2 linked regions of the Neodiprion lecontei genome follow. The protein of the gene in region 1 interacts with the protein of each later gene in a biochemical or structural test. Links are inferred from orthologs where the notes say so. Each region holds a gene or a part of one and is shown in the gene's direction. Other genes may lie near its edges.

Region 1 (3,932 bases):
TGAACAGAAAAGAAAAATTCATTGGAGGCGATGAAGTAGCCAGATAACACAGGTCTGCAAAAAGATAGTTTATTTCAGCTGCATGTGATGTTTTTGGTAAATGTTATGTTTTCGAGTGTGCTAAATCCAAAAGTTACTTCCATTCCACTCCATCTTTGCAAAATACAACGTATTAGCATACAAAAGCATACAAGAATAATGAAAAAACCACCATTTCATTTCAATGCACCTGAACAATACTTCTTTTAAATGTACTTAACATTCCGTGTTCATTCTTTTTCCTTATGAAACCCTTCCTTCTTCTTTTTGATAGTTCTCTGAACAGGTTTCCGCTTTTCATTTTCTTTGTTCCTGTTTATATTTATTCTTTAGTCTCTAGATTTCGTGTTAAACGAGAGTTTCAGTCTAATTGAAACTGCAAAGACGAGTTTAAGAAAAAACTGGACGTGATGGATTTTTTTGAGTGTTTTTTCCGGTTTCAGAGCGTAAAAATCTATAAGAAATGGTGTAATAATGCCTGCGCAATTTTTTGCTTGCAGACCTGTGTAATCGTGGTTGGTCCTTTTAGCAAATAGCAATGACATGCATGGATGGCTTGTAATTAGTTGTGGAATCGTGATTTATATCTTCGTTTAATATCTTCGTTTAAATTTTCACTTTTAGCTACGTTATGGATAACTTGATCGACTACATTTGATATTCGGTCGGCCCCTCGTACCGAAGGCTGTTTTCATACACATCCTTCATAGGATATTTCACACACATGGACGTAAGAAATCTTAATTATGTTCACGAAAGAATAGAACCTCCGAAGTATGAGTCTCACAAAACGAGACATTATCAAATGGTCTGCCTTCGCAGCTGACTAGTTAGACACGACGATATACAAGTTACTTTCTTGACTGCGCATGCGCCAGTCTACGGATAAAGGCAGGTTTCAAGACATCTCTTTCTGTAAGGGCGGGTACGTTCAGAGCCGCCTGTCACACTCTATCCTCATGCTTCTATGGTTGTAACCGATCGTCGCGTTGACCCGCGTATTCCAGATGTTAAATCAACAAATTGCGGAACTATGTTGATAATTTGATGTGTCTTCTAGTCATGATTGAACCTTGACTGTCACAGTTAGGATGTCAGGATTTGCTTTCTTTCCATAGAAATGCCACATATGTTACATTACCAAGTTAACGTCATTCAAACAGTAGCTGGACCTATTTTACGGTACATTTCCGAGTAAATAAATGGAAAACTCGACGACAGAGATGCCGGGTCAACCGTTCAGCGACGAAATTGATACCACAGAAACCTCGAGCTCCTGTACCCTCGAAGAATCGGTGTTACGGCCTGGAGAGCTCACGCCGCAGTCAGATGTCAAGCAAATAGATAATTCAATCTTCAATACTATCGGAAAAATAGTCAATTGCACAGCCAAGGTGAAATTCATAAGAATGTATCAAACCTCATACGGTCTAGTTAAATAAGTATCCATATAAAAATAGTTACTAAATTAATGTTAAGGGATTATTGGAACTAAAGTTTGTTGAAAACAATTTGTTATAGTTTATAGCTTCGAGTTTATTCATCCTCTTCACTGTTAAATTATATTATTGTCTAGTTATCTTCAATTTGCATATCTTGTAGTAAATATGTTAAGTATAAGGTGTCAATACTTTATCACACATCAAATATTCATTTTTTTATGCCAGTTTTCCAAGACTGAATGCTGCTATCTCTTAAATTTATTGGGATCTTATTATAAATTAGTTTTGCTATATAATCTGCTTGTTGCTGTCCTTTTGCTGATTTTCGTTTGACTCTATTTATTTTCCTACTGTCCACTGCTCTAGACTTGGGATAATGATTTATCGGACTGCTTCTGCGATTACCCACATCCTTATGTACATCCTGTAGTCCAGTTAATATTCAATGCATTTCCATTCGACGCAATGAAAAATATTAATTACAGACCACTAACTACTATGAAAAATATTTCATTTCAGGTGCCGGAAATACAGGATTTTAAAATTGTCAAGCCAATCAGTAGAGGTGCATTTGGAAAAGTCTTTTTAGGCTACAAAAAGACAAATCCAGAGCAAATGTATGCCATAAAAGTAATGAAGAAAAATGAAATGATAAATAAGAACATGGCATCACAGGTAGTTATTGAGAGAAACGCTTTGGCTTTGACACGCAGCCCATACTGCGTTCAGCTGTTTTATTCCCTGCAATCGATCAGCAGTGTTTATTTGGTGATGGAGTACATGGTGGGTGGAGACCTCAAGAGTTTATTGGGGAATTGCGGTTACATGGAAGAATCCATGGCAGCATTTTACACGGCAGAAGTCTGCCTTGCTCTGGAGTACCTTCACTCCCATGGTATCGTGCACAGAGATCTGAAGCCGGACAATATGCTGCTGTCCCGTGAGGGTCATGTAAAACTAACGGACTTTGGACTTAGTCGAATACCTGCAATGCAGAGGGACCTCGAGATATCTGATCTTGTCAATTGCACACCTAGTCTCCTTACCAGAACTCCTGGCCAGCTACTGTCGCTTACCTCTCACTTGTCGTTTGGATCAGGCCAGAAGTCGAGCCTTGAGGCAAATATTTCGGATTCGAGTCAGAGGAGTAATCCAGCCACCAACCTTATCCAAATTCTTCGTAATAACAGTTCAAAAACTAGTGGACGATGTTGCGGTTCATTCACATCTTCGATTGGGGCATCGGGTGACTACTGCCAAGTTTCTGGAATCACACTATTTCAATCTGCAGAAGATGTTCGGTTAGCCAACGGTAATAATACGGACAGCAGTACAAGCTCCAAGGGGCTAGGCGAGAGCGATGATAACAGCACTGGTAGCAGTTTTCACACCTGTGAAGCTTCAAGTTCGGTTGTTAAAGTGAATAGCAGCAAGGGAGAGACTGAAGACGATGATTCAACGCTAGAGGCTGATTGGCCTAATAAGCAACTCAGTCACACAAGTCCTTTGAGCAGTAGCCAGATCTCGTTTACCCGAGGAACAAAGCGAAAGAGGAACACTGCTACTGCAGCAACAGGATTGACCAAGGAAATTCATCTTCTTGGTCTAGAGGTCAACTCGACACCCAAAAGGAAGAATCGAGGGACGTCATTTTCCCGTGCCGTCTCCCCACATCCAGCAATTACTACTGCTAAGGTAACGAATGGCGAAGGGACGGGCAGCAGCGGAGGAGGCGTCGCATTCAGTACTCCAGTCTCCTCCATAAAGCAGAGACGAACTCAAGATGACGAATCCAACGACAATGGCAATGGCAGGGATCACCTCCAGAACCACAATCATAATCATACTCATCGGCACCCTAAATTGGAAGAACATCGGCAGGCAAGCGAGAGCGATAAACCAATTTTAATCAAGACAACCAGGTTTGAGTTGCCACAATCAACGTCTCGGTCTGCACCTGACATACAGCTTGGTACAGATGACGACCATCCAGGTATCTCACCTATTAAAACCCCAGGGACATCTGTGGGTAGTCATACGCCATACAGAACTCCAAAGTCGGTAAGGAGAGGTGGAAAGTTGTCGTCGCGGTCAGACGACCGTATTCTTGGCACACCAGATTACTTGGCACCTGAATTACTTCTAAGGCAGGGTCACAGCTCAGCTGTCGATTGGTGGGCACTTGGGGTTTGCCTATACGAATTCTGCACTGGAATTCCACCCTTCAACGACGAGACACCGCAGGCGGTGTTTACCAATATTTTGGCTCGGGACGTTCCATGGCCAACAGAGGATGAGGCCTTATCAGCTTCCGCAATGGAGGCCATCGATGCTCTGCTAACTCTCGATCCATTAACCAGACCTTCAGCAGTCGAGGTTCGTTCTATGACTCTATTCAGTGATTTTCCATGGGATAAACCACATAGTGCGACGCCACCGTTTATACCACAG
Region 2 (3,932 bases), on another chromosome or scaffold:
GTTTGATAGCGTGTAAATATATAAAATTGCATATGTATTATAATTGATTACTGTCGTTATTCACCTGGAGTACAACAGCGATTGTTTATGAGACATAGTAGCTATTTGCTTAACATTATTAGGATCGCGCTGCTGCGAATATTCTTAGGTGTTTGTGTTATAACTATCTTAACAAATTTAGGGTATTTAACAATTTGATAATTCGTAGTTTTAGAGCAGGTTTACATGTGTGCTTTCGTACATAATTCTCTTCTGTAATTATAAATTCTTATATCGATATAAATCGGCTTAGAAGCTTTTAGAACATTTTTCTCATGTTTGTTGGTTGCCTGTTACTGGGCGTTGCCACGTATGCATCTTTGAGTTTATGTGAGTTGATTTACCTTCAATCGTTTCGTCGTTAAGTTTCCTAATGTGTTCTCTAGATGGAGCTCTGTATGGCTCCTCATTGGAGATCTGCATTGTCTTCAAAAACGCTGCGCGTGTTGCCTACAATACGGCGTTACGGAGCAAAGTATGATTCATGCTGGATAATTGGTATGCACGGTTTTGAAGGTTTTACAGTCTCTGATTTAATGGATTATTGCAACAGTGCTATCTTTACATTATATTGGTTATACATTTATCTATGGTTTCACAGTCCTCTATACTCCAGGTTATATGGTATAGCGTAAGTTGCTTATTGTGTAGCTCTCAGTTTCGAATGCACAAATGGCATTGTTGTGTGTTATATAATAATTGGATATAATGGTGTTAGTTAATTATGGTGTTAATATAGTGATATATAATAATGTATAATAATATTATAGCTCTTTGTAGTGCAACGATCTCGTAACATGGTTTTTGAGCTTTGGTTAGTGAATGTCATAATTGTTTCCATCTAGGGATATTCCAAATAGTTAGACAGTTGTTTTAATACCTTATGGTTACAAGATTCTCGTACTTCGAGTTTGGTTAGTTGATAAAAGTGATATGCAGTAATAATAGTCGATAAAACATACGAACGTTCCGGTCGGATGTTACACCGTCATGAATACGATCAACCAATCGGGTGGATGGTTCCAAGAGGAATATCCCAAACTCTTGTCATTGATTGGTTGCTTTCTTATACGATATGCATGAAATCGATGCGCTGTGAACATGGCTTTATACGGGCAAATTAAACCCGCTCTCTTAACCAGTGGTTCCGAACTGGTAACTGACTTCTGAATTTGTTGATCCATTGGCCTTCATAAATAGTTCGAAGATTTGTCCGAGTCAAAACGTAGCTTGCCTGTGTGAATTAACGTGATAAAAGCCAAAACCCCATTCGAAAGTAACCTTATATTAATCGGCTTTCGACCGTTCGTAACCTCGCAATACCGAAGTCGAAAAGCTGGTTGAACTAACTATACAGGTTTGGTTCTTCTTTTCGACATTACGGATCATATTTCGCGAAATATTATTTTCCATCGTTTATATTTTTCATCTCCGCGTTAATACATAAATTATACGTAAACATACATATACAAACAATCGAGGATGTGCGACAATCAGAAAGATGAACAAACAGACGAAACAACTCAATCAATCGAGGTAAGTTCGTCTTCACTCTTAATAAAATTTGTACACAGTCACATTATATATATAGCATAATCTGTATTGATGTTAATCGCTGAACCGTTAACTTTTACCATTCTGTTGATGGATAGGTATATGTAATTGACACTTTGTTCTTGTTGCAGTTGTCGTCAAATGACATTGAAAAAATAGAAGAAGCCAAGCTTAGGGCCAAATTCCCAAATACCGGCGGACGCCCCATTAGCGGTCATTCTGCGTTTCTTCAGAAAAGATTAGCCAAAGGAGTGAGTATAACTACAAAATGACCTAGATTCTCAACTATATAATGTGACATATATTTGTTTCATCTTCATGATTCAAGCCATGTAATAGCCTTTTCCCCCAAAATAGAGAAATATATAAAACTTGCAAAGATAATCACAGACAATTTTTCTGAGATTATTTAATTTAATACCTGCAATAGTTGAGTCCAATTTTAAGCGAGAATAGACGGACGTGGACGATAAATGCCCCTCCATAAGGAAGGCAGGCAGACGTAACAACCAAATGTACCAATGTCGATAAAAATAAGGCAGTGTAGCCTAATAACCAAACTTTTTTCATATCTCATTGGGAGCTAGTACTTTTATAAAATTACAAGTAACAAATTGTTTAGAATTATCCTATTTAAATATACCAAAGTACTGTATACTTGGGATATTTTTTACGTTGTCCTATGTGAGTTTTATACTTGCCATATCGTAGCCAACGCTCCCTTCCTATCAAATCTTATGATTGTTTTAACGGAGGCTGTTGGCCATCAAAAATTGAGCGTAATTAGTGAATCTTCTTAACAATCTCTTATTGTGAGTGGCGGTAATTGTTATCTATTCTTATTGCTCTTATCTTACTGTATTTCTCTACATTCTCAGATTTGACTTTAAACAATAAGGTTGCCAGAAACGCTGAGCAAAGCAGAAAGCAGCTATAAATATTGGTTGTTCCGTCACAGAGATATATTCAATATGCAATTCTATACTTAGTACTTATTGCCAAAAGCATTCATCAGACTCTAGGAATCATAAGCAGGCTTTCATAAGTTTTAAATCTTGTAATAGATATGTTTATAGTCTTGAATTCTGTTCAATTTATGGAACAAGTTTACTATTTTATTATAGGATGTTCATTCACTTCAGTTCTGTGCTTTCTATTCGCTTATAAAACTTTTAATTACACATTATTTAAAAAAAAATTATATTCTAGATTTCAAAATTCCGCATGCAGTCAGTTGTATCTGTGTAGTAGTCCAAACGTTTTCAATTTAGAATTCAAATTTTTTACTTCGTACCAACATATTCTGTGCAAGATATCTTTACAATGAGCTTCATTTTATTTTTTAGTCCATGTTATGCAATCAATGACTGCAGGCAGAATTAATCCAGGATTTTTTAGAGCTGGGATTAAACAAAGTTTTCTCAGAACAAAAGCGATTTGGTCTTAAAAACGTATCTAGTAGCTCACGGTTGGTAAAAATTGTATTTGTACCGAAACCACCAGTTTTTGTTTTTTTTTTACAAGACCAACTAAAATATGTAAATTCAATAAATGTAAATTAAACATTTAGAGAAGTTAGGTTTATAACCTTGAAATGGATACAAATTCCTGTGCGCTGTCTAGCTTAAATATATTCAAATGATAATGATATGCACAGTGGACTGTTCTATGTAAAAACGATCGATCGGATCTCACAATCCAATTGTTTTCTAGAGTTATGTATCCGTAGGCTGCAAGAAGTTACATATTTCTGCCAGACACCGTTTTCAAGGCTTGTCGAGATTATGTAAAGTTATTTGCAGTAAAAAATTTCTGAGAAATCTGTCAAAAAAATCATAATTCCGTTGACAATATTACTAAATCGGTCACGATTTAGCAGTATCACCGTGCAGGGGATAGACTAATTTTGTGAATTTGATTTCTGTTATCTAAATTTTTGTTTTGATTCTTAAATTTATTTTTAGTGAAAATCTCTTAGTGAAATGCTTTTGTGAAATGCTTTTTTGTTCAAGAGAAAATGATTTTTTTTATTAAAGGGATGACAATCAACTCACAGGTTTTTTTCCTGCAATTTACGGACTAGAGTTCTCTGTACACATAATTGTTCATGGTAAACGTAAATAATTTTGCGACTCTATGATCAATTACATGTTCTCTAAAAAGATAAATCAGTTTTTTTATTTAAATCTTTGTTTTACTGAAACTATTAACAACGCACATGCTTTTCTTTTTTTACTTGTTACTTTTACTTCAAAAACAGTGCATACGAACATTTAAATGAGCAATACAGTTGTCAAATTCATAATCAATTGATATGAATTGTTGGCAGTATTAAAAAA

Evidence for each region.
Region 2: of the proteins of serine/threonine-protein kinase greatwall (region 1) and alpha-endosulfine, one has a biochemical effect on the other in vitro, tested with the Drosophila melanogaster proteins (2 studies listed by BioGRID). The link is inferred for Neodiprion lecontei from reciprocal best matches to the Drosophila melanogaster genes gwl and endos.

The regions. Positions count from the first base shown.
Region 1 is NC_060260.1:38,953,389-38,957,320, forward strand, and holds the start of serine/threonine-protein kinase greatwall, read left to right. Parts: upstream 1-1,054; 5' UTR 1,055-1,241; coding exon 1,242-1,433; intron 1,434-2,000; coding exon 2,001-3,932.
Region 2 is NC_060266.1:17,445,100-17,449,031, reverse strand, and holds the start of alpha-endosulfine, read left to right. Parts: upstream 1-1,148; 5' UTR 1,149-1,521; coding exon 1,522-1,575; intron 1,576-1,724; coding exon 1,725-1,844; intron 1,845-3,932.